Linked DNA regions of Lepisosteus oculatus. The protein of the gene in region 1 purifies or fractionates together with the protein of each later gene. This does not show direct contact. Links are inferred from orthologs where the notes say so. Each region holds a gene or a part of one and is shown in the gene's direction. Other genes may lie near its edges. The genes, in order: cullin-5, cops7a, asb6 and ankyrin repeat and SOCS box protein 13.

Region 1 (7,409 bases):
GCCCTTTGAGATCGTGTTTCTTCTGGTGGGGCACAAGTGTGACGCTGGACACCAACGGCAAGTGAGCCGGGAGGAAGCCGAGAGATTTGCGCTGGCTTGCGGGATGAAATACATAGAGACCTCGGCGAAAGACGCCACGAACGTGGAGGAGTCCTTCACCATCCTCACCCGAGACATCTATGAGCGAGTGAAGAGGGGGCACATAAGCATTCAGGAGGACTGGGAAGGTGTCAAAAGCGGTTTCATTCCAAACGTAGTCCACTCCTCCGAGGAAGCTGTAAAACCTGGAAGGAGGTGCCCATGCTAGCAAGTCAGACGTGAATTGTTCTTCAGCCAAAGACCGCAAATGCGACGGCGTGGGGTAGCTTAGTGCGCCCAGAGAAGACTGTGTGATGTCCTGTCAACAAGCTTTTAGATTACGCCATCCCGGTGCAGTCCTCTTGATCTGACCCAAGATGCTGTTCCTGTATTTAATCACTTGACTTGGGTTGTAAAACATTTCATAAACAGTGTAAAGAAATGCTCACCGTTGTGGTTCCCAAACGTTCTGAATCTATTGACTATAATTCCAGAACAAATTCACTTCTTTTAGGCTAGCTGGTTTTGTTTTTCCCATTTATGTGCGTGCATATTTTGTAAATAAACCTGAGGTTTTGGGAAAGAAGCTGCCTGAAAGACCAATATAGTAAAAACAGAGCATTTTTGATTTGTAACTCCAAGGTTGTTTTTTTATGTACATTTAACAATGCCTTTCTGTGAATGACTGTCTATAGTAATGTGCCTCCCTTCAGCAATAGGTCTTTGAAAGCAAGAAGCATCTGTTGTGATGTCAATTAAAGGGCTAAGAATGTATTTGAACAAAGTCGCTTGTCTAGTACCAAGAGAATATTTAAACAATTTGTGTTAGTGTTCCCCCTTCCCCCTTAATTCAAAGCCATTAGGAAGTCATTTTAAAACCACGAAAAAAAGGTAGAAAATTAAATGTGTGAAAAAATCTGCAATCTCGGATAAATTTGTGTGTAAAAACATTGATCCTTGTGAAACCAATTTTTATATAGGAATTGTCAGTTTCATGTGCATAACTTTAAGAGGATAGAGCTATACTTTTTGGTTTGTGAGAAAAATTGGCAGTAGGAACAAGTAAAGGTTAATTCCATGCTGAAAAAGAAATAAGAACGCCATCTCAGCAGCCTCTTTCAGATGTGGCACTACTTGTCAAGAGCACTTTTTCCTTACTGCCTGCAGCTCACAGCACCACTTGGGTGGCTGCTGCACTACACAATGAGGAAACCTCCCAGCCAGTGTGGATTACACACTGCCCCTTGGGGATTCCTAACCCAAGATGGCTGACAGTATCGCCAGGTTTAGATCAGCAAGATTGGAGCCCAACTCCAATCCACAGGAGTTGCTGTCCAGCAGGTTTTAGAAACTCTCCTTAAAAAAAAAACTCCAAAGACGAAGGAGAGGCTTCAACTTTTCCACTTAAGGAAAACAAGGAGTCCAATTGTTTGAATTTAAGAGCACAGGTGGAAAGAAAACCATAAAGCCTCTTGTCCTCCAAAACTCCAGGTTGTGCATCTCCTGCTCTATTATTTGTACACTCAAGGCACCTAAATGCAGCCTTCGACCAACAGGCTATAGAGTGTATCTATCCCACACCTGAGGATATGTTATTTTAAAGGGAAATGTATTGTTGCGCCAATGTTATATTCAAATAGGTGGAAAAAAGGGAATTGCGTTCAGAATGTCTCTATCCCTTGTAAGTGCGAGATTTAAAGCAGTGCATTTTTGGCTTTGAGGTACGGTTTCACAGACTCCAGAAGCCCTAGTCCTAGTATAACTTAACTTTAGGTAGCCAGAGACTAGAACTAATGAGAAACAGGCCTAAACGTATTTTGTGTTTTAGGACGATGTTCGCCTACAAAGAACAATGTTTCAGATTCTGGGACAGTAAGAATGAAAATGAGAATGTAATTTAAGGGACTTTAATGGCTAATGAGAGTGCAATGATCCCTCAGTGTTGTAGGGACTACACTCTGTGAATGTTGCCTTTTTGTGTCTTCCAAGGCTTGCCAAGAACGTTGCCTTAAGCAGATGGTGTTTTTACTTGCTTGAAAACTTGCATAAAGAAGATATGCATGATTGTGTGTTGTTCACTGATTAGATCAACTTTAAATTATTGCTTATACAAATGTGCTTAGATTGAGATCATCATGTGACTGTATTTAATAGATTACACACAACTTTAATATCATTAAAAACTCTAAACCAACAGTAATGTCTAGAGGAAATACTACTGCCTCTGTATTTCACAGACCACTGTTAAATGTGCACTTTTTCTCTTTCATGTAAAACTTTTCCTCATTAGATGGAAGATGCTTTGAATGGAAGCCAATTAAAAAGTTAAACTGCTATACTGTAGTTACTTTGTAATCTATTTGTTTTTTTTCAGTTATTTGAACTACAATGATTGTTGTCCACATTATATTTCGTTCTGCTGAAGTAACATTTCTCTGTCTGTCTGTTCACATTTCTAGTAAAACAGCTATATTTAGTGATAACACTATAGCATCATGCAGCTTGTGATGTGTAAAGGATGTCCTGGAGATTAGAGTTTTCTAAATGGATTTAAAAAATGCTTGCATAATCATGTACATTAAAAATGAACTGCCAGCATTTTATTGGTTTCGATGGATTTTTTAGTTCTTTATAATTTAGGACACTCAGAGACCAAGACTGAATCCACATCACACATGATGTAACACGTTATTCCAAATTCTAGGTATTAATATCTGACCTTAACGTTTTGTTTAAAAAATGGATTATTAATTCCTATGAACATTTAAAGTAGATTTATATCTGGGATATGCTGATCAATAGCTTACACAATATAATACTTTACCAAGGTGCAATATGCTTGCAATTTGATGTGGTTGTGTAAAACAGGTTTCTGCAATATTTATTTTTTTGCCCTACAACATATTATTTTAAAAAAGCATATACTGTAGTGTCCCCTAGTATGGGTACCATGTAATACCAAGTGAGAAGAGACATATAAATTATTCAGCGCTAACCAGAGATACAGAATCTCGTGAGACTCTTAAACATGAATTTGAAAATAGATATTGAAGGTGTCTATAAAGTAAGATTAACAACTATGTCTCAAAACCATTTACCTACAGAATAAAGGCTAATTAATCATTATATTTTAAAGTCCAGTAATCATTACTGCATAACTGAAATATTAATTAGGTGTGGAAGTATGTCAAGTATAATAATAAAAGTGGGTATGAGATCAATACTTAATTCAACTTTAGGTTTTATAAATTACTTAGAATTGTTTTACATTTTCTATAAAAGGCGCAAAGTGTAAAAATTGTTCACCTGAAAATGAAATAATTGAAAAGCAAACTTACCGCAGAAGCTTGCTTCTTTTAAGAGCCATTTTCTCTACAGAGTGTATTGTTGGACTGAAAAGGTTTATCGGTAAGGAAAAACTTCGGAACACTTTTTGTTTTTGTCTTCCGCATGATCCTTAATAGTTTGTGTACTTTGGGAAACTGTTTTGTTCACAGCAGGATTTGAAGGAAGAGGAGGATCTAAAAAAAAAAACTTGGCCCTCACTGCGGTAAAAAATGAACAGTTCCTAGAATTGAGGACTGCTGCGGCAGGTAAAAAAAAATGTAACGGCATAAAAAAAGTGTGTACACAGTAACTAAGTTAAAAAAACGGAAGATAAATTCATTGTTGAAAAAAACTTTAAAGACTTCTTTTAGCAATAACCCTGTTTCTTGGATACCGGCACACCATTTAATACAACAGTGCCACCTAGTGGACAACATCAAATAACAATTTGTGCAATCTGGTATTTTCATAATCATGTGAAGTTAAACTTGGGAAAAAAAACGTCTCCCCATTTCGGTTCTTGTCACTGATGACTTCATCTTAGCAAAATTTGCGTGTACGAGCTAATGCACAAAAGTGTGAGGAACAACCAAAACATGTTTTTGTAGCTGCAATTCGTCTACACAAGTCACAGGTTCCTCGACCACCTTGTTATTGGATCAGTAGCACTTCTGCATGCCTCTCTGTTCACACCATTTATAGGTTTTATGGGTCTGTTTGAAATTGTATAATTTCTGCCCCTGCAATACACAAGCCAGGCTCTGGATAATATAGTCATTGCAGTTAATGGACACAGCTCCAACTCGGAATCTTTCTTACGCTGTTTTTTTTTCTCTTGAACTGTCTATTCTGTACTGTTTCCCGGTCATGTGATATACCCTTGTATGGATCGACTTAGTTCGGCGAAGCTAAGTTTAGCATCCACTCAAATACATGACACGGTTCCAGTGAGTTGCGTTCGTGTTTTGAAGGCCAATGATTAAAAAAGGGATTGCAAATAACAATTGAATGCGTTCCACTACACCACATAATCAGTGCCCGATAACGAACTTAATATGGAATAGTATAAACTGTAATTTATAAAGGGACTATTTATATTTTAAAAACTTTGCCGACTGTATCTCAACATTACTCCATCTCTCAGGACCCCTTGGTAACTAAAGCCTTCGGAAATCTCGCGAGGCTGCGCGAGGGGATAAGTTGAGGGAACATGGCGACGTCTAATTTGCTAAAGGTAGGTGGCACTTCATTTTAATAATGATAGTATTTTGTGTAAGTAACGCTAATTCGTGATCGACTGTCTGCATTTTAAAACGCGGCTCTTTACAAAGACGGAGCGTTTGGGGGCAAGGTTAGAATACTACGTGTGTGCATATTAATAGAAAAGGGAGACAAAGCTATCTTTGGTGGTAAATATTATTGGCACTGGGTGGCTGATGTTCAAACTTACTTTCAGGATATGGGCCTTTTTAATTATACTAAAACAATAAAGATTTGTTATTTCTAAGTTTATTTTTATTTTTAGATATAATATACACCCTGACTGTTGTAAAATAACCAGCTAGCTGTGGTTGCCCGGATTTCTGTACGTGTTGTCAGTCTCACCAGGAATTCCGAGTTAAAATTAAAACAGTCGAAGCTTTGAGAGTGTTTTAAAGAGACACTGGATGTATCGGATACGAGTGGGGAAGTTCTATTTTATTAAAGGAGATTTCAGCTTACATAGCCTGTGAGCTTGTAGCTGGGCTACACGATGTACGCCATGCAATACAGAAATCCTAATAAATCATTCCCTGCTCTCAAACATCATGAGGATACCGGTGAGTGTTGAAGTGTGTATCGGGTCTTGTCTAATTTGAGACAGTTCGTATGACCACATATTTTTATTCTATGTTATAGATGTCAGAGCTCCTTAGTTTAATATTAAAGACTGAGATGCGTGATGTCATCTTTCCACGAAATTGTGAAGAATACATCGTATGCCGGGAAATTATGTAATAAAAATAACATTACCCAGTAGATTGTCTGAATGTAAATCCCACTGTGACAGTCGTTGAGGCATTAATGTTCAGTGTTAAAAGCTGCACTAGGCGAGGTGTGGGCACTAGACAAGCATCATGAGAGCTCGCCCAAATCTCTGCCGTTTCTCCTGCATTATTTTCAGCCACAATCTGGATTAAAAGCGCATACTTAAATAACTGTCAGCTGCGATTGACAAGGTTTGTTGTCTGTTATCTTATCCTTTGCTCTACCTTATTTTGACTTATCTTCCTAACATTAAGAGGAGAATGCAGAGTTTTTGCCAAACTTGTTCAGAACTGCAGCTTTTTGGGGGAAAAAATAATATCTAATATATAATGTAGGTTCATGTTCCGCAGTGGCATGCCATATAATGTCTAATACAGAGTTGAATAAACCCTGGTCTTGATGACTCACCCACCCGCTGGTTTGTGTTCCAGTTGAGGTCTTTCTTACATAATTAAGTCCTTAATTGACCTAATGGGATTAGTTTGAACTCTTTAATTGTTTTCTGTTACTTATATTCTGGAAGTTGCCTATTGTGTATGGCTAAGTATGGATCCCCACAGGAATTAGTAAAGAGAGGAATCTTTGCAAACTATCTCTCTCCTTGCAGCTCCAGGTCAGTGATGTGCATTCCTTATTTTCCAGTGCCATTTTTTAATGCATTCCAATTCAGGCCTAGTTAAAGCAGTTGCATAATGAAATCATACATTTATCATAGATGAAAGGTTTGGTATGGATTTAAAGTGTAATGCAAGCAAATTGGCACTACATCTTGCCTGTCGATGTGCAGCTCAAGTGAAGAAATCTGGGTTTTAGAAGAAGTTCTCCAGGCTTCAAGATAATTGAAAACACAGATCTTAAACATGTTTAAAATAGCACACTGTGACCCATGTAGTTATTTTATTTTTTAAACAGAAAAGTTGTGAGGTGTGATTGCATGCATTACCCTAGTCATCCGTAAAAAGATTAAATGGTTTGTCAAGGTTGATTGGGTCAATCACTTTTTGTTTTAAAAAAAGGATGTAAGCACTTATTTTTATCTTTGATTCCTGAAGTGTCTCTTCTCATCATAATTTTTTCAGTTGCCTGTTAAATTCTCCCTCCGTGCCAAGTACTTAACATTCAGCTGTACCCTCACTCCCCATGTTTCAGTTTGCTCTTCTAAATTGTATCCATTTGGAAAGCTGCCATTTCATCCCAGAGATACAGCTATAAAAATGCCTTTAGTTCCAGTTCTCCCTGAAATCATTTCTGTCCAGGTCACCTGTTGTGTATATCAGTGGAGAGAGTGCAGGGAACACTGAGATTTCTGAATACTGAAAGTTTCCTCCTTTTCCGGTGTGACTTGATTTTGAAGATGCAGTGTTAAGTGCCTCATTTCTGAAATTGGCTGAGTACAATGAGGATAAGGTTTAAGCATAATGCATTACAGAATTAAGCTGAGATTAAAATGGAAATGCAACTTTTTAAAAACTTTTAACAATGTATTATACAGCATAGAATTGTTGTGGGGGTGCATTCATGGTAATTCTCAGTGTGGTGCTGCAAATCATCATTTATTCCTCAAAGGCCTGTACCATAAGTACTGTACATATCCCTAAAGGGGAAGATGAACACCATTATTCAGACCAGTTGTCAGATCTACAACTAAATCACCCTTCTTAAATCAATCCATAGTATGTGCTGATACCCTAATCACTGTGCTGTTCAGTGCACGTGATAATTTTGTTTTTATCTGCAGGCCTGTGAGTAGTAAGTTACATAAACACCCAACTTTAATACCAAGCGAGCAGAAGGGATTATTTGAAGTTGACTACTGATGGTAATTACTTCAACCGAGTAGAGGCTGTAAATTCCAGACTTCAAAAGAGACAAGGCAGTGATCCCTTTAGGTATTGATCTTAAAATAACCATGAACATTAAAATTATAACCTCAAAAGCAACACTCTAGAAGAATGTTTGCAGTGTCTTATCGGATG
Region 2 (7,815 bases), on another chromosome or scaffold:
GAAGATCAGATCAATAAGAATTTCGGACGTCTGGGATCTAGCCTGAATAATGGATCTGCACAGTCACATTATGGCTTACAGTTTTTGGAAAGACTGTGGGGATTGAGGCTGGTGCTGAGTTTGTTGGATCTGGATTGTTTTAGGGATAATTTTGCTCTTCCCGAAGCATGACCACCCAACTAATGCCCAAGACTCGAGATTTGGGCAAATTCTAGCTTTAGTGACTTAGTGTAAACGTTAAAGACCACATCGGAAGTAAGAAAGTGCTTTATAAACCATGTAAAAGGGGCAAAGGAGTACATAAATATATAAATGTGGTGAACTTGCATGTCCTGAAAGGCAAAGCATTTTTTGAAATGCCGTGAAAAATAAACTCCACCTGATTTATGATGATGGAGGATTAGCGATGGAAGTAAACCTGTTGGGTGTTTTTATCCTTACTAGAATCATCTGCATCCTCTAATAAACTCGGGGCGATCTCACAAAATCGGTTGATGTCGGCTTGACGCTAGTGCATGGGGGATGTGGAACTACACCCCCCCAGTGGCTGATGGGAACTGTAGTCCTTGCCCGAGGGCTTCTACTAAGCTGTGTGTCTTTGCAGACAACGTGAAGGACTGGAGTAAGGTGGTCCTGGCCTATGAGCCTGTCTGGGCCATTGGAACTGGGAAAACCGCAACCCCCCAACAGGTAACATTGCTGATGTCGACTGCTCGACCCTCCGTAAGCGTTTAACGTTGTAAGGCTCATGTATTTCTATCGAATGGACAGCGGCTTTTATAGCTGTAAGACCAGAGCTGTTAAATCCTATACTTGGCCTCACGAGGGCTCCTCCTCAATTCAGCATGAGGCAATTCTCTCTCCTGCTCTTGATCTGCTGTGCAGAATGGCCGCTGTGTCACCCAAGCGCAGCTGCAGTTCGGGGGGGGGTTCCCCTCTTCAGGGGTTGCAGAGCAACACGAATCCTGCAAGGCAACTGCTTGGCTGGGTTTTCTGTGGTTTTGGGATGAACCCTCAGGCCCGTGTGCAGTGATGTTTTGGGCTCTTCCTAGCAGAGGAAGTTCTGTATTCAAAGGGGCTAGCGTAGACTGAACTCAACACCGCGTGCACAGGCTGGTCTCCAGCTCGCATCCTTGGGAGCAGTTGAAGATGCCTGATCTACCCCATTGTCTGGTTAATGCAGGGCCTCCCAGTGTCGGAGAGCCAGCCTGTTTCCAGGTTTTCTGTCCGGCTGGGCTTTTATCAACCTGAATGAGGCCATTGACGTATTCAGACCAGTTTTAACAGCTTCTCCCTGCTCCCGGCTGAGCTAGCAACTTCCTTAAGCCCTCTACTTAGGAGGCCCTTTACACAAAGGGTGGTGGGGGTAGGCAACGAGCAACCCTGCCCATGTTACTGAAGTCCCCACCCCGGCTTCTGGGAAAGCAGACTGGGGGAGGCATTTGACCCTTCTTGTTTTCTAACTATTCTTCCATTCGTTCTCCCCCCTCCCCCCCGGCATAGGCCCAGGAAGTTCACGATAAGCTCAGGCAGTGGCTGAAGACCAACGTCTCGGAGGCGGTAGCCAGCTCCTGCCGGATCATTTACGGAGGTGAGACTCCTCGTCCTGCACGTCTCCTCCAGTGTGGACGTACATTAGTCCTTCACCCCAAGCTTGTTCGATTTTCCCCTCCCCCGTTGGTTTTCCAGCAACCGGTCGTGTGTGGTTTAATGGTGTAAATGCAGCCCTGCAAAATGGATTTACAGCGGAATTGGCTCTAAAACGAGGGATTTGTGGGCTTAGCTTTATCATGGGGGGTGGATTTGATTAAGTCATCTGTAAAGGACTGTAGATGTAAATATCTCCATCTTCTACTAAGGATATGTCGGTTAGCTCCAGGTTAATGTATGTAAGGGTTTGCACAGTGATAATTGCCGTCTCGCAGTGCTGGGGCCCTGGGTTCAGTTCCTGGGGTGCTGTCTGTGTGGAGTTTGCATGTTTCCACTGGATTGTGTGAGATTTCTAGCAGGCTTTCTAAAGTTCTTGGTGCTCTAGGTTGTGTTCGTTCGGTGTTTCCCAAAGTGCTGTTTCCTCCTCTCAATGGACTCCCTTTCGCGCCAGGCTCCGTTACCGGGGGGACCTGCAAGGAGCTGGCCTCGCAGGCCGACGTCGACGGCTTCCTGGTCGGCGGCGCCTCCCTGAAGCCCGAGTTCGTCGAGATCATCAACGCGCGCCAGTGAGGGGAGGCAGTGATGAGGTCACAGCCGGGGATGGTGGACCCCGCCCCCCTTTTGCACTTACAAGCCCCACCCCTGTGATGTCACTTCCTCCATGTGTTCAGCCCTATAGCACTGCATAGATGGGCATGCTGCACAGACACTGCATACGTCATCAAGCACTTGGGGACAGTATACTCGACGTGGGTTCTTGACAACCACAAGTGTATGCTTTTGTGATCGTCTTGGATGATGTGTGTAGTGCTGGTGCAGTGTGATGTGCATAAAGTCTTGAAAGCCCGTAATTTAGTCAGGAATTGGTACCCATCTGTAATCCAAGTGTTGTAATGTTCCTTGTCTGCCAAGCACTGTCACCCTGAACTTCAAGCTCTTGCGTTCTGTGTTCCTCGCAGCCAGCCTGGCTCACGGCCTGGGGGAGCCGTTGGCTGGAAAAGGGATTATTAAACAAACGGTTTGATCGGAACCCGGTGTTGATTCCTGTTCTCTTGGGGGGGTAGTGTATATTCTGAAGGGTCCAATCTGCTACCACTTGCTGCTGAGCTGCACAAATCTCCATACTGCACAAATCCAGCTCTAGTCAGGATGGTTGCAACAGGAGCCTGGAACTCATTATTTTCTACAAGGCACCACAATGTCACATAGGTTACAATTATAATACTTTCTTACACAACATGTTTCTGGAGACTCCTCTCAAAGCTCTTCACAGGTCATGGGGATCCCCTCCCCCCCTACATAGTGTGCAGCCCCACCTGGATGATGCTCCAGTCCTCTCCCCACACACCAGCTCTCAGTGGGGAGGAGAGCCAGTTCAGAGGGGGGGGATTATAAGGAGGCCATGACTGGTAAAGGCCAGGGGGAAATTTGGCCAGGACACTGGGGTTACACCCCTACTCTTTTCAAGAAACGCCTAGGATCTTTCCTGACCCCCAGAGAGTCAGGATCTCATCCAAAGGATGGTACCTTTTTACAGTATAGTGTCCCTGTCACTCTACTGGGGCATCAGGACCCCCACAGACCACAGGGTGAGCGCCCCCTAGTGGCCCCATTAACACCTCTTCCAGCAGCAGCCTCGGCTCTCCCAGGAGTCTCCCCTCCAGGTACTGGCCAGGCTCACACCTGCTGAGCTCCAGTAGGGCTGCCAGCTAGGAGCTGTAGGGCGATAAGCCTGCTGCCAAAGTAGTTTCTCTTCTCATTTGTTGTTTTGGGGCTTTTATACAACATTGTCTACGCTGTGGAGAGCCAAGGATTCGAACCCGGATCGGCAGTGACCACAGCGATCATGTGGCATAGATTTATTTATTTTACAATACGGGTGCAATTTAATCACCGAAAGCCAGACTGGAGCCCAGACTCCTGCTGTTAGGCTTGGGAGATGCCCATGTCCCCCGTATTACCAGAAGGGTGCAGTAGGGGAGAAGGAATCGACATTTAGTCTAACCGGCACGTTTCTCCGTGGTGCTAGCTGAATGAACAGACCGTAAATTAAATTAACTGAGTGGTATGAGCACCTAAGCGGTTCACGGGGGCTACTACGTTTTTTTTGTCAGTTCTAGAAATTATGAAAAAGTAGCACCATAATCTGCCTGCAATAACTATTCTACTAAAGCCTTAAACTCGGTTTGTTTTTCGCGTTCTCGTCCCCGTCTCTAGCTGCGCTCTTCTTAAAAAAGAGCATCAGTGTCTGGGACGTGTGTGCACTGAAATTTGAACGGCTAAGTCACTATTTTATGAATGTCATAGAGCCCGGTGATCCACTATGGTGGTACAGAGAGAGAGAGAGACACCCCCTTCATTTCCATTCATTCTACACATTTACACTAGAGCAGCCCGCGTACAGAGTGGGATTTCAACCCGCAACCTTCCAGTTACAGTCCAAAACCGAGGCGGCGGCTGGAGACCTGGGCAAATCTTACCACTTTTTTTCCTGGGGTGTCAGTGGAGCCCTGGTCAGACAGCATCACTCCACGTGTGAATGCATCGTCACGTCTGGTGTCACTGAAAGAACAGCCGGAGGCATCGTTTTTAGAGTACTAATAAATTCATCATAAGCTTGTTACGAGTCTGCATTTTATCAAAATATTTTTTTAAAAAGCGTTCTGGAAGCAGAGACAGAGGACGTCGCGGAACTTTAGGATGTGAGGAAGCATTTTGGGGTGAATGTCAGATACGCCTCCCGGCGACTCTCTCGCCGAAACAGAAACGGGCTGTTGTCCAATCAGGAGAGAGGGATGGGCTGTCTCTCCGCCCCCCCAAAGGATCAAAACCAATCCCATTCTCGAACCAGACACAATGGCCCGCCTCCCTCTCGCCTCCTCCAATGGAAGGCGCCGGCGAGTTGTTGTTACAGAAAAGGCTACTGCGTGCGTGCGGCTGCCGAGATCTGGATTCCGGGTTGAAAAGTGACGCGATTTCAAGGTAATTGAGTGAAACAGCAGCCATAATGAAAGAATTAGCAAAGCGCACTCTCGTATCTCCTCTCAGAAACACATTGCCACCTTTTCTGGGTGTGCGTGCGTTAGAAAAGCAGTTGAGGCCTAACGAGGTCCCGGAAGCCTCGGGCTCAGGTTGATTCTTGCGCCGGTTTGCAAGAAAGCGAAACGAAGACGGTTTAGTTGGGTAGCACTGCTTACGAAAAGTAACTGATGATGAGATGGCAGTATTTGGCTCCGCTTTTTAATCGGTTTATTATTGAACGTTTTAAAATCAAATGGCTATATATGTGTGTGTGCATTTTATGGGATGTATTTCGGTCCAGAACAACGATGGTCCTTCTCATTACACTGTGAACGCACTGTGCATCCTCTTTATGATTGTATTAATTTCCTATCTCTCTCGCTCGAGTGTTTTTTTGTGTCTAGTCAGTGTGTTTAAGTAACCTCCCTTGAGCTCGCTGTTTCTACAGTGCATACATAGGTGAAAAGCTTTATAGGGTGTGCACTGTAGCTCCAGTGCATCATCCTACATTCCAGTACATCAGCCCATTGGTGGTAGCCTTTCTCGTTTCTCACAGCCTGCAGATACATTAACCAGCAACTCACCGCTGGCAGCTCACTGGAGCTCAGCAGGTGTGAGCCTGGATGGGAGACTCCTGGGAAAGCTAAGGCTGCTGCTGGAAGAGGTGTTAGTGGGACCAGTAGAGGGCGCTCACCTTGCAGTCGGTGTGGGTTCTAATGCCCCAGTATAGCGTAAAATATAGTGTAAAAAGGCGCCGTCCTTCAGATGAGACACAAAACCGAGGTCCTGACTCTCTGTGATCATTGAAAATCCCAGGGTGTTTCTCAAAAAGAGTAGGGGTGTAACCCCGGTGTCCTGGCCAAATTTCCCCCTGGCTTTTACCCATCATGGCCTCCTAGTAATCCCCATCTCTGAACTGGCTTCATCACTCTGCTCTCCTCCCCACTGAGAGCTGGTGTGTGGGGAGAGGACTGGAGCATCATCCAGGTGGGGCTGCACACTGGGGGTGGTGGAGGGGATCCCCATGACCTGTAAAGAGCTTTGAGTGGAGTGTCCAGAACAGAGCTATAGAAGTGTAAGGAGTTATTATTGTAACCCACCTTTTTCCCCCTCATCTTTCATCCTCTATCCCTCGGCTCCGTGTTCGTGCTGTCAGTCACCGAGTCTTTACTGCTCTCCTGCTCCCGGTCAGATGTCGGAGGTGCGACAGGTGTCGGTGGATCAGCTCCTGACCCTCTCGGGCGCCGCGCTGGCGGAGGCGCTCTCCTCCCTCCTGGAGACGCCCGGGCTCTACGTCTTCTCCGACATCCTGGAGCTGCCCAATGTCAGAGAGGTACTGACAGAGCCCTAGACCTGTACAGCCAGGCAGACAGATGGAGAGGGACTGACTGTCTGGCTGTTGACTGACTGGCTGTCTGGCTGTCTTACTGTACGACTGACTGGCTGTCTGGCTGTTTGACTGTACGACTGGCTGTCTGTCTGACTGACTGGCATTGTATGTGTTGTATGTAAACATCCTCTGATGTGTTTGGATAGTAAATGGCTTGTAGATGTTATGTGGATGGTGCACACTTGGACAGCAATGTAAGACATCAGTCATGCCAGTAGAGCTCGATGAATTTGATCAAATGACTGCCAAGCTGCCCGCCTAGGACGTTCACTCACTGACCCTCAGTCTAGGTGTGTGTATTTAAGCTGTCTCGTCTTCTCAGCTGGAGTCGGGACCTCATGCCCCAGTCTACCAGCTGCTCAACCTCTTCGCCTACGGGACGTACTGCGACTATAAAGGTCAGCCCCGCCGCCTGTGTCCCTGTATCTTAGCGCCTCGTTACACTGACAGCTCAGAGTCGGCAGTACACTTGGTGGGTGTGTTGGGGCGGGGTGTTTGCGCCAGTCTGTGTTAAACACCCTCTCCTCCTTTATCAGAGAACGCAGCCTCGCTTCCTGAGCTAACTCCTGCCCAGAAGAACAAACTCCGGCACCTCTCCATCATCAGCCTAGCCTCCAATCTCAAGGTAACTGCACTGTGAAACCCAGAGCACTGTGAAATGCAGTGCTCTTGCCCTGTCGTGTCTGATCAGTAAGTAAGCAGTGATTGTACTGCATTGACTGTGTTCTCTCTTGCTGCAGTAGTACTTTACTATGGCATTTAGCCAATTATGGTGTATTAACCTCCCTCTCCCTGCATAGTGAATGTAGTGCTGATGGTGAACTCTCGGTCTGTGCACAGTGAATGTAGTGCTGATGGTGAACTCTCGGTCTGTGCACAGTGAATGTAGTGCTGATGGTGAACTCTCGGTCCGTGCACTGTGAGTGTAGTACTGGTGGTGAACTCGCAGTCTGTGCTGTATTGACCATGTTCCTCTGCTCCTTCCCTCTTCCAGTGCCTCCCCTACTCCCTCCTCCTGCAGCAGCTGGAGCTGAAGAATGTGAGGGAGCTGGAGGACCTGCTCATCGAGGCCGTGTACAGCGACATCATCCAGGGCAAGCTGGACCAGCGCAACCAGCAGGTGGAGGTGGACTGCAGCGTGGGGAGGGACCTGGGCCGCCACGAGCTGCCCAACATTGCCAACACCCTGCAGGAATGGTAAGCAGCACCATGGATGACGTGGGGCGCTGGCAGGGAGCCCCGAAGGAATCGTGCAAGAGGAAGATGGTGGAGGGGGGGGGTAGCTGATTCAGTAGACCCGAGATCCTAAAAATCTGTTTGCTTCAGAAAAAAATCAACATTGAATTTGCCTTTCCACTGGAACGTTATCTAGTTTTTGAGAATTGGGGAAAACCTGACGTTCCTTTAATTTGCTTTACTTTTCCCTTTAGAAGTCAGTGTTGTGCGGTTCTGTCACTTTTAAGTCACAGTTCATTTTCAGCAGCAGCGGTGGGTTGGCGTCCGATTGACAGAACTGATTTCCTGCAGGACCTGCTCCCTGTGTTGTTCAAAGATTATTTTTTAAAATGACCAAAAGACACGATTCCTCTCATCATTTTCACCAACGTATGTCTTCTCAACCCACAACCTACAGCATAAAGCACTTAATTTGCTTACAGATCAATAAAAAAAAAATATATCTGCCCTAGCAGAGGGGCTCGTAAAAATTCAGAGAATGTAGGCTTTAGTTGGAGAAGACTTACAATTCCTGTTAT
Region 3 (7,760 bases), on another chromosome or scaffold:
GTGAGACTTTAACATATCAAAGGGACAAATGGGAGAGAGGGACACTTTCAGAAATCTTTCAGACATAAACGTAAACGGGACAGGAAGATGCCATTTGGCATCCTGCGATCTGTTTTATTTCTATCTGGTTGAACACACAGGTGTGAAAAATCACAGACTTCAGTTGCAGAAAGACAGCTGTCTTGGGTACGAGCTGGAAACCTTTTCCGGGCATAGTCACAGTCTTCACCCTCCTTACTTGGTCTTCCACAGGCGAATAGGCGCTACGGGCTTCAGGGTGCACACGAAGAGGAGCAGTCAACAGTTCGGGACAGTTTTGTGTTTAAAGTTGTGCCCTGTGCCCTCAGCCACTGTGCCCACTCGCCTGCCCCAGCCCTGCACGCTCCGGGACCTCCTGGAGAACTTCCTGGACATCGCCAGCGTGCCGCGGCGCTCCTTTTTCGAGCTGCTGGCGGGCTTCGCCACCGACCAGCTGGAGAGGGAGAAGCTGGTGGAGTTCGGCACGGCGCAGGGCCAAGAGGAGCTGCACGCCTACTGCCACCGGCCCCGGCGCACCGCCATCGAGGTGAGCGAGGGCGCCGCACCCGGCTGAGCCCCTGCCCGCCGCGGTCCTCCGGTCCTCAAGAGGGCGCTGTTCTCTCGTCCCCCCCCCCCCCCTGCAGGTCTTGGCCGATTTCCCCCACACCACAGCAGTTCTCACCGTGGACTACCTGCTGGACCTTTTCCCCGAAATCAAGCCCCGCTCCTTCTCCATCGCCTCCTCCCTGCTGGTAAGGCTCTGCGCCGCCCATCCCATTCGCCTGCAGTTCCAAAAAATACCTCCCTGCTTTTTATAAAGTCATTTCTGTGCTCATTTGAGATGAGAGAGAGATCACTTTATCAGCCCTACAGAAGTTTTTGCATTAGGAATTTGTCTTTTCGCAGACCCCAGCTTGCTCTCCATGAGACACACAGACAGGGAGAGAAGCTGGGGGTCAGAGCGCAGGGTCAGCCATCGTACAGCGCCCCTGGAGCAGTTGGGGTGAAGGACCTTGCTCAGGGGCCCAAAAGAGTAGGATTCCTCTGCCGGCTGCGGGATTTGAACCGGCAACCTCCCAGCAACAAGGGCAGATCCTGAGCCACAGAGCCACTGCTCCGCTGCTCAAGTGGTGGTCGGCCGCAGGCTCAAATTTAATGAAATGTCAGTTAAGTAATGACGCGACATTGAGGTCGGTGAAGCGCCGGTTGAATGCAGAGCCATATCAAACCTGGCCAAAGAGGATAGAGGGTTGGTGGATGTTGATGAGTTGATGCTATTGAAACCTCTCAAGGGATCAAGGTCAAGACAGGGCACACGGGAGGCGGGGCAGATCTTCCCGGCACTCCTGGCTCTCCTGTTCTCCCGCAGGCTCACCCTGACCGGATCCAGGTGCTGGTGGCGGTGGTGCAGTACAGGACCAAGCTCCACAAGCCACGCAGGGGCCTCTGTTCGTCCTGGCTGGCCTACCTGGACCCCACACAGAGTAAAGTGAAGCGTGAAGCCTTGCGACGCGACGCGGTGCAGATCTGTCGCGTGACCGCCGAGCAGCGTGTCGTGGACTGGGGATGTGCTAGAATCCTGACAGTTTTAGAAGAAAACCCGGGCTGGTGTTGCATTTCTGACGGAGAACGCAGTCCAGCCGCAGATTGTCTGTCTGTGGGATTCTGGGATTTCCCAGCATTCCCTTCCTGTGGCCTCGTGTCGCTCTTATCTGACTGCGGAATGTCCCATCTTGCAGGGGAGGTGCGCGTCCCCCTGTGGGTGAAGAAAGGAGGCCTGAGGTTCCCCAGTGACGCCGACACCCCTGTGATAATGGTAGGGCCCGGCACCGGGGTGGCCCCCTTCCGAGCCGCCCTGCAGGAGAGGACGGCCCTGGACAGGACAGGTCGGTCCTGCCTCCCCTGCGGCTCTCCTCCCTTCTCCCTGTAGCTTTCCGTTCTGGATTCGTTCCGGAATTCCCACTGTATCTCCTCATTTTTCTTCCCCCCCCTCAGGGAACGTTCTGTTTTTTGGCTGTCGCTCGGAGTCCCGGGATTTCTACTGCCGCTCCGAGTGGGAGGAGATGCAGAAGGCCGGGCGTCTGACGCTCTTCACGGCTTTCTCTCGGGACCAGGTAGGCCGTTTACACGGCTCTTTCCCATACAGAGCAGATCGTCTACCAGAGCAGCCCCACCTGTGCAGCAGGTCAGGGGGAGAAGAGAGAAACGTCTCCAGTGGTTGAGTTCAGAGGGGATTTTAGAGTAGGCAGGTTGTTTAAGCCCCGAGTAGAATTGAGTTAGGACATTGGTGTACACCACTACTATTCTGACTCTCCAGTGACTGATTGTCCAGGACCTGGTGTAACTTCTTACCCAGAGGGGTGGCACCACCTCCTACAGCGCTGTGTCCGCAGTGACCATACTGGGGCGCCGGTTTAGAAATTCTGGCCCAGAGAGAAGAGCACCACCTGCTGGTCCACCAACACCACCTGCTTCTCAGTGATCTCAAATTCCAGTGCTGACCTGACCACACCAGGCTACTAGATCAGTGTTACCAATGTCTTCCTCCTTCCCCCCACACTCACACTCTCCAGAGTGCTTTGTTGCTTCAGTCTTGCGGTAGACTGTACCTGCCTCTCATGATCAGTCTGTACAGTACTGAGTGGTGCCGTCCAGTAAGCTACTGACAACCAATGAGCAGGATATACTGAAGCTCTTTCTCTAGTTAGTAACTGTTCTTATGTTTTCATGATGAAGTCCTAGAATGGCAGAGTGCAGAGGACAATGCAGAACAATACTGTAAGCAGTACTTGAGTATAGTGCGGTATATTACAGTGCAATAAAACAAGGTAACAGTGCAGTGTATTACAGGCTGAAAAGCAGAGAACAGCAAAGTGCGTTAGTGTCAGGTTCACTATAACGCAGCCTAGTGCCGTAGAGAGCATGGCCTTGCAGTGTAGTCTGGTGTGACGCCGCTCTGGAGGGGCCTGCCCTCAGTGCAGTGAGGGGCGGGGCAGCAGGGCTCACCTCTGGCTGTGCCTGCAGGAGGAGAAGGTGTACGTGCAGCATCTCGTGCGCCAGCAGGCCGGGCTCCTCTGGGACCTCATCGCCAACCGGGCCGCCCACGTCTACATCGCCGGGTGAGTCCGCCACGAACAATCCTGAAATATTCTGAGACGGCCATGTATACTTTCACTATGCTTGACCGCATTGTTCAGAATACAATTTACAGCCATTTCAAATGACATCAGGAAAATATATTACATTCCCTAAGATCTGATTTGGGGTGCGTTACAAACACACAAAAAAGAACATGAACAGAAATAAAATGCCACTCAGAACACTGACCTGCAAGGCTCTGAATAATCTGGTGTTTCCCAGCTCTCTCTCACCCTCCCTTCCATACGCTGTGTTGTTTGCACGCCGTGCCCAGCAGTAAATACCCCCGGTGTTGGGGCGCCCTCCCTGCGTCTCTTCGAGAGGCAGGTTCTTGGACTGTTTTCTTAAATCTGAACCTAAAACTCCGCTTTTTTGCGGGGGGGCTTTGTCTGCTTGTCTTACAGTGTGTCCTGCAAGGTCTGGTTTTATTTTTTTATTGTATTTTTAAAAATGCTGATCCTTACATATAGCATCCTTGGGGTTTGGAAAGGTGCCCTATATAAATTATAAATTTCTTCTTCTTATTATTATTAAAGAGCTCAGTGCAACGATGGCATGCCTTTAATACCTCAGCAGAGATCTAGCGCCGTCCTGTACAGCTCCTAAATCGCTCATCGCCAGCTCTGGCGGTCTCTCCTCTGTGTGTCCCCGGTCTCCTCCGGCCTCAGCAATGCCAAACAGATGCCGGCGGCTGTAGCCGATGCCCTGAAAGCCGTGTTCCAGGCGGAGGGGGGTCTCTCGGACCCGGACGCCGAGGCGCTGCTGTGTCAGCTGGAGAGGTCGGGCCGCTTTCAGACCGAGACCTGGTCGTGACCCGGTGCCGGGCGGAGGGTCACGCGTCGTGGGCGGTGAGCAGCAGCAGGGCGGCCCGCCGGGTGGCGCAGTGCTGGAGGTGCTTCCGTCTGAAGGGGTTCCCCTGCTCAGAGACTGGGGGCTGCATTGAAGAAGCACCCCCTATTCCAGCAGCCGTCGCCTGCTGTGCCACAGAACAGCCGCCGGCCGCGAAGGAAACACGTGTGAGGTCTAAACGCACGACTGCAAGGATCCCTGTAACTGAGTGCGATTACAGTGCACATACAGCATACGTGTGATCATATTAATGTAACTTTTATTAAATGATTTTTTTTATTTGTCTACTTATGAATTGCTTTTAAGGCTCTGGGGAGCACAGACCAATCATATGTTGTCTCAATGTGCTTTACTGGTGTTCTGGATTGATGTCTGTACACTGAATTTAAATAAACTGTTTAACTGTGCAATTCACTGGCATCTGGTTCACGTTGTTTGATGCATACCGTGCGAGCAATCGCTGGTGTTTATTGGTTAACGAAAGCCGTTTTGCAACAGGCTCATTTTGTAGCAGGTAATCGTGACACCTGCAATCGAGTTAAACATCTAAAGAGAGAATTTTGTAAGATAATAGCGCAGAAATCGCGCACACGCCTCTTCCGAGACAGGTATATCTACGTTTCAAATCACACGTAATTTTATAATAGGCGAGTCTGCAGGGCGGACAAACTTGATAGCGGCACAAAAATACTTCCGGGACTCTATCCAATAGGCAGCCGAGTTTTAGATTCAATTAACTGAGACGTCCTCTGATTGGTCCGTCGGCAAACACGGACAGCTGCAGTGTTCGCATGCCTCCGCCAGTCCGCTAGTGGCGTTTTCGGGTCCTGTGTTGGTGAGTTTGTGCACGTTTTGTAAATAAATTCGTAGTAAATATCCATAATATGAGTATAACTGTTGAATACCCAAGCTGGTGAATACTTGCTGGAATAATAAGTTAATAAAATATGAATGTGCAGCTAGCGGGCTCGCTTCAGTACCTGCGGTCCCCTCTGGTAATCCTCGCCTGTGTATTTTTGAAACCCCTTCACCTCTAAAACAGGTTTCAGTTGCCATATTTAAGAGTTAACGCTCGGCTGCAATGATGCGTTTAATTAGACTGTTTGTGTGTGTGTCTGGTTTATAAAAGCGAAGACAGGCGGCGGTTTGAATTCGGCGTGTTTGCGGCCGGTGCTCGTTCTCCGCTGTTGTCCGTGCGGGTCCGAGAGATTCGTGAGGAATGACGGCGTGGGGTTATCAACAGTAGTTAATTTCAGTGTTTTTAAAAAGAGACCATTACGCACAGGTAGACCCGGGCCTGTTACTGTTTTAGCACATTGTCCGGAAGGTATGGCTTCATTCACGCAATCCGGAGTTACACTGTATTATTATTATTATTATTATTATTATTATTATTATTATTTTTATTATTATTGAGAGACAGGCTCACTGTTCCCCAGGCTGGGACAGGAGGTCACACACTGTATTATTATTATTGAGAGACAGGCTCACTGTCTGTTCCTCAGGCTGGGACAGGAGATCACACACTGTATTATTATTATTGAGAGACAGGCTCACTGTCTGTTCCTCAGGCTTGGACAGGAGGTCACACACTGTATTATTATTATTGAGAGACAGGCTCACTGTCTGTTCCTCAGGCTTGGACAGGAGGTCACACACTGTATTATTATTATTGAGAGACAGGCTCACTGTCTGTACCTCAGGCTGGGACAGGAGATCACACACTGTATTATTATTATTGAGAAACAGGCTCACTGTTCCCCAGGCTGGGACAGGCGATCACATACTGGGCTGCCAGTTCAACTGAGTTCCCTCCCCCTTCTCCCAGCAGGATTGGGAGTTGTTGTGATTCTGGTAGGTGTGGAAATTCTGGCGTTAGATTTGTACATTTGGGGAAGAATGTCTAATCCCAGAATATTTGTCTCGCAGTGCAGTAGGAAGTGCACCTCTGTCTCTATTTCTCCCCGCTGGCAGTGGGAGCACAGCCTGTCCTCTCTGGACAGCCAGGTCAGCCTGTGTCCAGTTTCTATGGCCAGGCTGTGGTCACTGAGCCTGTCCTCTCTGGACAGCCAGGTCAGCCTGTATCCAGTTTCTATGGCCAGGCTGTGGTCACTGAGCCTGTCCTCTCTGGACAGCCAGGTCTGCCTGTGTCCAGTTTCTATGGCCAGGCTGTGGTCACTGAGCCTGTACTTCGTCAGGGTCTGTTTCTTTTTGCTGTTTCTTATCTTGGTCAAATATTCGGCTAGTGTGTATTGTCCGTTTAGGGTTCTGTAGAATTCCAGTTTATGTTGTGTTTGTGTGTGTGTGACCCAGTGTGTTAGATATTGCTGTTTGATCTGTGCTGTGATGTGCTTGAGTCTGAGCTGTGGTGCTCTAGCAGTGCTGTCCTGAGGTTGGCTGCTGTCGGTGTGGCTCAGGTCAGTGAGCCTCAGGACCAGCTGGCTCTGGGGGCTCTGTTTTGGGCTCAGCAGAGTCTTGTTGTGGTAGGAGTTTGGGTCGCATGTGCAGAGTTTCTATGGAGTGTTTTTGCCATTGAGTGTAATCCTGGTCTGAGATTGGGCCACACACTTCACTGCTGTACAGGGCAATGGGATGGATTACACTACCAAATATTTGGAACCAGATTCTTGTTGGTTGATGTTCAAAAGCTTCCTTTTTATTGCGTAGAAAGCCCCGAGTGCCTTCTCCTTCAGTGCTTTCACTGACGGATCAAAATTCCCAGATGAGCTGATAGTCAGGCCGGTACAGTATGTGTAGCTGGATGTGTGCTTCACTGTGTGCATGCTGTTCAGTGTGAACTGGCACCTGTTTCCCTGAGATCTGGCTTTCTTCTGGAAAACCATGACTCTGCTCTTGTCCAGATTGACCGGCAGCGCCCAGGTCTGACAGTCCTGCTCCAGCAGTGCCAGGCTCTGCTGTTCTAGGTCCAGATGGGCTGGCAGTGCCCAGGTCTGACAGTCCTGCTCCAGCAGTGCCAGGCTCTGCTGTTCTGGGTCCAGATGGGCTGGCAGTGCCCAGGTCTGACAGTCCTGCTCCAGCAGTGCCAGGCTCTGCTGAACTGGGTTCAGATGGGCTGGCAGCGCCCAGGTCTGACAGTCCTGCTCCAGCAGTGCCAGGCTCTGCTGTTCTGGGTCCAGATGGGCTGGCAGTGCCCAGGTCTGACAGTCCTGCTCCAGCAGTGCCAGGCTCTGCTGTTCTGGGTCCAGATGGGCTGGCAGCACCCACGTCTGACAGTCCTGCTCCAGCAGTGCCAGGCTCTGCTGGTCTGGGTCCAGATGGGTTGGCAGTGCCCAGGTCTGACAGTCCTGCTCCAGCAGTGCCAGGCTCTGTTGTTTTGGATCCAGATGGGCTGGCAGCACCCAGGTCTGACAGTCCTGCTCCAGCAGTGCCAGGCTCTGCTGGTCTGGTTCCAGATGGTCTGACAGTGCTGCTCCAGCAGTGCCAGGCTCTACTGGTCTGGGTCCAGATGGGCTGGCAGTGCCCAGGTCTGACAGTCCTTCTCCAGCAGTGCCAGGCTCTGCTGAACTGGGTACAGATGGGCTGGCAGTGTGCAGATCTGACAGTCCTGCTCCAGCAGTGCCAGGCTCTGCTGTTCTGGGTCCAGATGGACTGGCAGCGCGCAGGTCTGACAGTCCTCCAGCAGTGCCAGGCTCTGCTGTAGCCCCTGTTCTTCGGGCGACACCAGGACCAGGTCATCTACATAGAGCAGGAACTTGATCTCTGTGTGATGTAGTGTGAGACCAGGTGCTGCAGAC
Region 4 (8,377 bases), on another chromosome or scaffold:
CAGATCCTTAGCCACAAAGCCACTGCGCTGCCCCCTTTTTATATCTCCTAATTTAACAGTAACGCTACTAATTCAACACTAATGACATAAAATGTCATTTGAATACATCGTGCTTTTCCTTGCATTCCATTCATCCATTTTCAGTAACTGCTTCATTCTTGGAGGGACATGGACAGCTGAAATCTAATTTCCACCCGGCAGGACAACCACCATAGACTGGATACAGTTTTTCTGGATTTGAGTGGAGCGCTAGCTCACACTTCAGAAAGACTTTATATGGCCATATAATGCTTCTTCACTAATGCTTAGCAAAGTGTTGGCAGAGGCCACCAGGAAAAGAGCAGGTGGAAAGTGATTATATGAGCTCCTTTGCAGGAGGTGGTTACTATGCATCTGGACAAAAATCACCTGTATGTGACCTGGAATGCAAATGTATCTCAAAAGTAAATGATGAAGACCAATTTCAACTGTATCCCTTGTCTTCATTTCTCCTGATTTAACAGTATTACTACCTGTTACTTGTGTTTCTGTCTGAGACTTGTAACAGTCCCCATACAGGTTTTAAGAAAACGTGTAATGCCATGCTTAAAAAGATTTCAGAAGACTATGTAAAATCGGTAGTTGATGCTTGTCACGCTGGACAGGGTTGCAAAACCATTTCTATTTGAGGCTCTACACATCCATAGTCAAAGAGTCAATGAATGGAAATTATTCAAGATCATGGTGACACTACCCAGGACCAGTTGTTCTTCCAAGATCTCCGTAATTAAACCCAGAATATCGTCTAGAAGGTCACAAAGAACCCTGGAATAACATCGAAGGATCTACACACCTCTCTGATTGTGGATAGTGCCAGTGTACATGTCTGAGTTATCAGGAAAAGACTGAATTGGAATGTTTTTGGGGCAAAGATAGACAGTAAGAACTTACTGCTCTCTACAAAGGACATTGTCACCCTTCTGAAGTTTGCCAAAGAGCACTTGGACGATCTACAAGACAAGTGGAAGAATTTTCTCTCAACAGATGAGTCAAAAGTTTTCTGGTCACGGTAAACTTTTTTGTGTGGCGAAAACCATTACCTTGTCTTCCAGCAGAAGAACCTTCCCAACGTCTAGCATTGCGGTAGGAGTATCATGGTTTACTTTGCTACCTCAGGACCTGGGCAGCTTGTCATCATTGACGGAACCATGAATTTGGCATTGTATCAGCAATTTCTGGAGGAGAATCTCTGCCATTCGTCAGCTGAAGGTGAATGCAAAGTGTCATACAGCAAGACGATCTTAAACACACAAGCAGATCTACAATAGAATGGCTGAAGGAGATTGTGTTTAGCATTTTAGGGAGTGCAAGTCAAGGTCTGGACCTAATAGTTATGTTGAATGGTTATGGCAGGACCTTGAGAGGTATCACTTCCGTGGTAAATAATTGAGTGACTAATTCAATTAATACATTAACCTTTTCACTTTCATTAAAAGCAGTATAGATTTCCCATTATCATCTCTGAGTCACTTTAATCCATCCTTTACTGTTACCATGTCCTTTATTACTACGTTTTATTATTCTTTTGCTGTTGTAACACTGAGAAGAGATGTTATCAATTATTTTATCCTCTGTTGCAATTTCTGGCTTTTCAAATATCTTTTAGTATCTATGATGACTTCATTTCTATAAATGTCCTTTTTTAATGTTTTTGTTGTAGTTTTCCTAGATTGCTAAAACAATTTGCAACTGTGACTCACATCATCAAAACTAAAATGAGCAAAACAGAAACATTTCTTTTTGTAAAACTAAGTAATCTATCATTGCTTTCCCAGAAAATCCAAATGTCAGTCACCTCTTGTGGTAAACAATAAAAATGATGCTCTACGAATGACATAAAAATCAAGTAGAAATATACGGTCAAACAAAACTCATTTTTTCCCAGTTGATAATAATTACTCCCACGTGGGATTACTCCCATATGTATTACACACATGCAAGTAATCTTAAGCTAATTGTTAAAATATCACTCAGTTCATAATTGCACATGAAGAGGGTCACTGTTCAGTTGGAGATGGATGGTCAAAAGAGGAGGAAGAGGGGTACCACAACCCTAGGGGTGAAGAGGTGGAGGAAGACTGCAGAGAGTTGAGGTGCCAAAAAGAAATATTAATGGGCACTGTTGATCCTGGTCGTTCACTGCGTGAACCAGTGGCCAGGCCAGAGGCGTGTTCAGCTGTAGCATCAATTATTGGACTTGAGAATAGGTAAGAGATCGTATACTGTATAAACTTGATGGACAGTAATAAATTAGTAAATAAAATCCATTTTTGGAGTTTTTTCTCTTCTGAAATTTATGGAGTCATTTTTTGTCCAGTAGAAATCTATTTTTTTAATTTATAGAACTGACAGAAAACCCTGTCCTGGTGGTCAAGGCAAGGTTTTCAATGTTGAACAGGAGGCAGCAATTGTTGACCTGGTGCCTGCAAACAATGCCATGTTGGGTTTTTTTCAAAATCAACTTTATTGCACAAGATACATTAATCGTGCAATGAGTACATACTCTCGCAAAGCATAAACTCTCTAGTATGTTATAGTAAAGTTCTTAAAGGTGTTTCTCCTTTTTCAATCTGTGCACGTGGTTGCTGGGGCTTGATTTGCACAAAAAGAGTCCCTCCGAGACCTACCACTTGCTGTTGTCCGTCTCTTTTCCCTGTCCTGGAACTGAAACTGCAGTTGCCCAGTTCTCTGCAGGAGCTCAAATGAACAGGTTTTTCCTCCTTTCTCCCTATACAGGGCCCACAGTCCCTTCCAGCACTCCTTTGGTAACATTGCACTTCATTCTCCCTCTGAGGTTTGCAAGCATCCTCTCCTCCAGCTCCCTCGCTTCCCACTCTGTGCTGGAGAAGTGTTCCTCATGTTCCACAGTCCTTGTTTTATTAGGAACACTAGCAGCCATAGCAGGTATTGTGTCCCTTTTGTCTATTCCAATCGGGCCAGCCCCAGCAGTTTATACTGGCAGCTTAGCTTCGTTCCCGCTCCCAGGAGTATTGTCCATTCTGACCCATGCTGCTTTGGTGAAGAAACAGCTCCAGGACACTTTCTCCGGCATCTCCTCGAAAAATGTGTCCCAGGGGAATGTGGGTTCCTGGTGAGCGAGTGTCTGTAGCGGACCTCTCTGATTGCCAGCCTCTGGTACACGTCCATCCAGTTAAAGTCTTTTAACTTTTTGTTGAGTTCCTTTGGCTGCGTCCTTTCCCAGACTTGTCTGAGTACCTGCAGCCACTCTCTGGCAACCAGTTGGCCTCTCACCTCTTTGTACAGGGCCCTGTGGCTGGTGCAGAGCTCTGGTTGTCTCATGGTCTCTCGCCTCCGGATCCATTTGACAGGGTGGGTGTAGGTCTCCAGTCGCTTTTCCGCTTTTGGTTCTGTGTTTGTCACTGGATCAGGTGCCTCATAGGGAAGGAGAACCACAACCTGATGAAGTACTGGTACCTGTGGCTGAGCGAATCTCGCAACACCTGATAGAGGTTGCAGAAAAAGATGCAGTCGAGTTTTAGGGGGAAATCCAGCACGTCTCTCCCCCCTTCCTCGACCACCTGATGCATCCAGTTTCTTGTGACGTGCTCGTACCTGCCACTCTAGACAAACTTGAAGACCACTCCTTGCATCTTGCAAACAATTCCATATTCCTTTAATAGGCTTCTGGGAAATCTGGCCCTAGGTGTGATTGAGTATGGGTTGGTGTGTCTGCTCTCCGATGGACTGGTGTCCTGGCCAGGGTGTACCCTGCCTTGTGCCTGCTGCTTTCCAGGATAGGCTCCAGCTCCCTCGTGACCTACCTCGTGTAAATATCTTTATCCTTTCCCCTAGTAATAATTCTTTACACTTATATAGCGCTTTTCTGGACAATCCTCTCTAAAGGGCTTTACAGACTCCCCAACACCACTAATGTGCAGCTCCCACCTGGATGATGCGACGGCAGCCATAGTGCACCAGTCTGCTCACCACACATCAGCTGTTAGGGGGGAAGGGAACAGTATGAAGCCAATTCATACATGGGGATTATTAGGAGGCCATGATCAGTAAAGACCGATGGGAAAGTTTGGCCAGGACACCCCTACTCTTTTAAAAAAAACACTCTGGGATTTTTAATGACCACAGAGAGTCAGGACCTCGGTTTTACATTTCATCTGAAGGACAGCAACACGAAGCACGAAGACAGAAAGAAAGAAGATGCCCCCTGCTTTAATAGAGGGGAGGCTCGATTGGGTGAGCCTTGAGGGGAAAGGTTAGGGGTCACTGGATCAGTCCACTCCAGGGGGGTGGGGAGGTGAGCAGATTTCTACAGTATGTCATTGTTTTCCATCAGTCGTATAACAATAGGATTAAATAATGCATGAAGTGGAGTTTTATCAATGCCTTTTACTGCTTTAACATGCTGATCAGCGGGATCCGCCTGATTGATCTCTCTGTTGCCTATTCTTTTTTGAGAGACAGTGTGATTGAAGTAAAAACACCCACATCATTCTTATACATCAAGGTCTTTATATAAACATTTAATAGCGTTCAGGACTTACTGGGTTGTTTGTTTAGGTAAGGAAATGTCACAAGTGATGTTCTACAAGATTTAACATGAACATGCATTCCATAGCAAAAGCAAATGACCGTGTTAAGCACATTTTGAATAAGCAGTTTATATAATTGGTGTATATATATATTATGGCGACAGTCTGTATAAAACATTACCAGTAACAATCCGGGGGCCGTTTGTTCATGTCATTATAAACACGAGTAGTGAAATTTGAATGTATATGGAAAACAACAACCAAGCACTTTGCAATACGTTAGACATACCCTCGTCTAGAACCTTAAAATTAATGTGACACAAATTTATTTTTACGCTCGACGGAGAGCTTTAAAGTGATTACTTAAAGGTCTACTTCATAGTATTCACTGACCCCTGCCTTTCCCCATTCATATTTTGTTTCCCATATTGCCAGCTGTGCATATTTGCCAGCTCGCAAATCTATATTGTGTTTTATTTTCAAATCGTCAATAGGATAGTATCGGCAAATATTAAAAATATTTTTTGCATGTGCAAAACATTTCAGTTTGGAAACGTCTTGTCTTGCCAAATTAAAAAGGTTCATTTAGCAACAGTAGACGCCTGAAAATGTTCAAACTACTATTCCCATGAAGCCTTTGTGCACATTGTATCCTGTAACCCTTGACTTTGACGATTCAAAATAGTCGGACCACGTGATTCTTTACCATCAGTGTATAAACAGCTTTGTATGTATATTATACTAAAATAGTTTATTGTTTGGTTTTGTGCATAGCGGTAAAAGAACGCGTTAATGGAAACCAGCACGGCAAGAGTGAACATAGGAGACATTGGTGAGTTACACAGATCTGGACTAGAGTTCAGCTGTTCTGCTGTCCAATTTGAAAAACACACACCAGCTACCTGATTCCAATACATGCGTGCCTGTATAGACTCGGAGACCTTGTTTTGGGAACATGGGTTGCTTGTGATAGTCAGGAAGTAGTTCAATCTTATTATCTGCTAAGAACAACTACAACACTCAAGTAAAATATTATCCAGCTGTGTTTTTTTACTGCTTTAGGCAAGGATTAGGAATTCATACAGACGTGTATGTTACAGTAGTATTACAGTATGTGTGAAGACAGTTAATGTTCTATCTCGAAACGGTGTTATTGTATCAAAAGTGACACAGTCAAAGGTGTAATAAAAATAAGGCAGTTTAGCTTAATTGCATCACGATATACGCTTGAGAAAAGGCAGTCCGTGTGACGTTATGCAGAGTGCAATGGCTTGTTTACAAGGACAAGCTGTAAAACCGGTTGCACAAGATCTTAATATCTAGTTACAGGTTGTGAACCATGTCAGTGTGCTACTTCATGATAACAACTTGTAATGCCTGTGGCAATCTCAGGCACATCACTAGGTGCTGATAATGTTCCTAAGAGTAACATGTAATGGTGCCTCAGTTTGCAAGGTTATGATTCTGGTTTGTAAATGTTGTTTAAGTCAGTTAGGAACAACGTCAGAGCAAGATCGTAGTACCACTAATCTTGCCTCCAAAAGAACTGCTAGTAGTGACAAAATTATATCCGGCTTCTTCAGTAGGATACCACTGGCAACAATTTACTAAAGCACAGGTGATCATTGATCAGAAGCTGCTATTGCCATAACAGTTCAGGTGGGTAGCTGCATCAGCATGTGTAGGCTGTAAAGGAACAAGTAATAGGTTCATTCCATGCTGAAAAGAGAGGAAAGAAAACACAAAGTTTCGGCCATGGAGCCTTCTTCGGGTGTGAGAAAGACAGGGCAGTAAGCAAAGATAATGTAGCAGGAGAACAAAAGCTGGGAGAGAGGAGGGGCCGCAGGCAGGATCAGGGGAAAGACAGAGTGGCCAGTCAGGATAGGTGAGGAGAGGTGTGAAATGAAAACAACAATGAATAGAGAGAATTTAGAAGAAAATTAGTCTGTTGTTGGGAGAGGGGAAAAGGTGTGATCCTAACTGCAGGATAATTTTAGTTTCAGTAGTCTTTCTGATGTGGGAGTTAGGAAAACCATCTTTGAGAACACAGATGGAGAGATTAGTGTGATCATGGCTGTCAGAGGTGAAATGAGAAACAATAGCCTCGGAGAAATCTCTAATCTTCACAGCCCTAACATGTTCTCTGAAGCGATCTTGGAGTCTCCTTCCTGTTTCTCCAATGTAGATGCCTGGGCATTTACTGCAAGAGATACAGTAAACAAGGTTGCTGGAGGTACAAGATGTCATCTGAGTGATCCGGAATTGTCCTGAGGGGCCTTGAATAAGTGTGGTGTTAGATATGTAAGGCTGAAATATTGCCATAATAGTGTAACCACACTAGAGAAAGACCTGTAGAATAATGACAAAATTTGAATTTGTATTTTTAATTTGTTAAATTATATTGGGCTGAAATGTCCAATATTAGCTAACTTTAATTTAAGAATGCACTTTTATTTGTTTACTCAAATGTCTGTAAGCTGCTGTGTTAAGCTGGAGTTTTCAGTACTCAGTTCTTTTTTTATTTTACGTGCAAAAGGTTAAATTGAGAGCAACAGTCAACATTATTGACACCTGAAGAAGGCTCCACGGCCGAAACGTTGTGTTCTCTTTCTTCTTTTTTTCAGCATGGAATAAACCTATTACTTGTTCCTTTGCAGTCAACATTATTGTACATTTTTTAAAATTTTACAGACACAATATAATAAATGAGGTTTTTATCAAGAACAAATTTCCTGAATTCTACATTCCAACACTTAAGCCTGAAAATTGACCTTGAGTAGCCTGGTTTTGGGAGAGCCTGTCACATTCTGTATATTTGAGATCAGTAGAAGTAAGAGGTACAGTTTTCAGCCCATCTTGCTCATCTGGGTGTTAGTAACTAATTAATCTGAGCATCTTCTCTATTCTTTTCAAGAATTGCTAGCTTATTTGCTTGCCTTATTGCTTTTGCCTTTGCCCATAGGGTTCTGGGCTGATCGAACCGCAGTGCACGAGGCAGCCAGCCATGGGCAGGTCCTGCAGCTGAAGCAGCTAATCGAGAGCGGAGCCTGTGTGAACGTAGTCACCGTCGACTCCATCACGCCACTTCATGAAGCCTGCCTGCAAGGCCAGACTCACTGTGTCCGGTTACTGCTGGCAGCAGGTGCACAGGTGAGACTTAATCTTGATATTATATTGCCACACGTAGAATAATTAAAGGTTCACTGCATTTTACCTCTTGTCAAATCTGGCATAAGGAGGTCTACAGCATTATTTAGATGGTAAATAAAGGTATATATCTGGATGCAGTGAGAACATGTATTGTATCAGCTTTGTTAAATATTATTTTATTTACGTTTGTTATGAAAAAATGTTTTGAACAGTTGTTAGTGGTCTTCACATCACCATATGCAAAATTTTTGCCAGTTCCGTTTCCGAAGTACTTTTTGTAGTGACACTGTGAAACAAACAAGCAACGGATCAGCAAACATAGTCTAAAAGTGTTGAAGGATGCCAACTGATATTGAAATATCAATTCCGCATGCAGCGATTTCAGGAGAATTGGATTGATTGCGGTGTGATGTTTGTGTTTTTAGGTTGATGCAAGAAACATCGATGGCAGTACTCCTTTGTGTGACGCCTGTGCCGCTGGAAGTATAGAGTGCGTGAAGTTACTTTTAGAACATGGAGCCAAAGTAAATCCTGCTCTGTTTACTGCTTCTCCTCTTCATGAGGCCTGCATGAGTGGTAATATACACTTTACTGCTCATTCAAATCATCTCACCTGGTTTCAACCTCTCTTCTTTACAGTTGCTGCATGTGTATTGCTTTCCGGAAAAATATGATTCTCT

What was found.
Region 2: the proteins of cullin-5 (region 1) and cops7a purify together in Homo sapiens (affinity purification with mass spectrometry; 3 studies listed by BioGRID and IntAct, with this or other methods). This does not show direct contact. The link is inferred for Lepisosteus oculatus from reciprocal best matches to the Homo sapiens genes CUL5 and COPS7A.
Region 3: the proteins of cullin-5 (region 1) and asb6 purify together in Homo sapiens (affinity purification with mass spectrometry; 6 studies listed by BioGRID and IntAct, counting the BioPlex papers as one, with this or other methods). This does not show direct contact. The link is inferred for Lepisosteus oculatus from reciprocal best matches to the Homo sapiens genes CUL5 and ASB6.
Region 4: the proteins of cullin-5 (region 1) and ankyrin repeat and SOCS box protein 13 purify together in Homo sapiens (affinity purification with mass spectrometry; 4 studies listed by BioGRID and IntAct, counting the BioPlex papers as one, with this or other methods). This does not show direct contact. The link is inferred for Lepisosteus oculatus from reciprocal best matches to the Homo sapiens genes CUL5 and ASB13.

The regions. Positions count from the first base shown.
Region 1 is NC_090700.1:10,146,404-10,153,812, reverse strand, and holds the start of cullin-5, read left to right. Parts: upstream 1-4,345; 5' UTR 4,346-4,615; coding exon 4,616-4,639; intron 4,640-7,409. Other genes in the region: ras-related protein Rab-39A, read left to right, coding at 1-307. UniProt on the Homo sapiens protein: Core component of multiple cullin-5-RING E3 ubiquitin-protein ligase complexes (ECS complexes, also named CRL5 complexes), which mediate the ubiquitination and subsequent proteasomal degradation of target proteins.
Region 2 is NC_090718.1:2,551,180-2,558,994, reverse strand, and holds the start of cops7a (COP9 signalosome complex subunit 7a), read left to right. Parts: upstream 1-4,522; 5' UTR 4,523-4,632; intron 4,633-5,827; 5' UTR 5,828-5,863; coding exon 5,864-6,004; intron 6,005-6,383; coding exon 6,384-6,459; intron 6,460-6,597; coding exon 6,598-6,686; intron 6,687-7,055; coding exon 7,056-7,258; intron 7,259-7,815. Other genes in the region: tpi1b (triosephosphate isomerase B), read left to right, coding at 605-690, 1,504-1,591, 2,102-2,220.
Region 3 is NC_090719.1:2,800,585-2,808,344, reverse strand, and holds the start of asb6 (ankyrin repeat and SOCS box protein 6), read left to right. Parts: upstream 1-4,743; 5' UTR 4,744-4,840; intron 4,841-7,760. Other genes in the region: ndor1 (NADPH-dependent diflavin oxidoreductase 1), read left to right, coding at 348-565, 663-770, 1,388-1,904, 2,014-2,132, 3,043-3,137, 3,825-3,969. UniProt on the Homo sapiens protein: Probable substrate-recognition component of a SCF-like ECS (Elongin-Cullin-SOCS-box protein) E3 ubiquitin-protein ligase complex which mediates the ubiquitination and subsequent proteasomal degradation of target proteins.
Region 4 is NC_090702.1:43,653,144-43,661,520, forward strand, and holds the start of ankyrin repeat and SOCS box protein 13, read left to right. Parts: upstream 1-5,231; 5' UTR 5,232-5,339; coding exon 5,340-5,379; intron 5,380-7,509; coding exon 7,510-7,697; intron 7,698-8,122; coding exon 8,123-8,273; intron 8,274-8,377. UniProt on the Homo sapiens protein: May be a substrate-recognition component of a SCF-like ECS (Elongin-Cullin-SOCS-box protein) E3 ubiquitin-protein ligase complex which mediates the ubiquitination and subsequent proteasomal degradation of target proteins.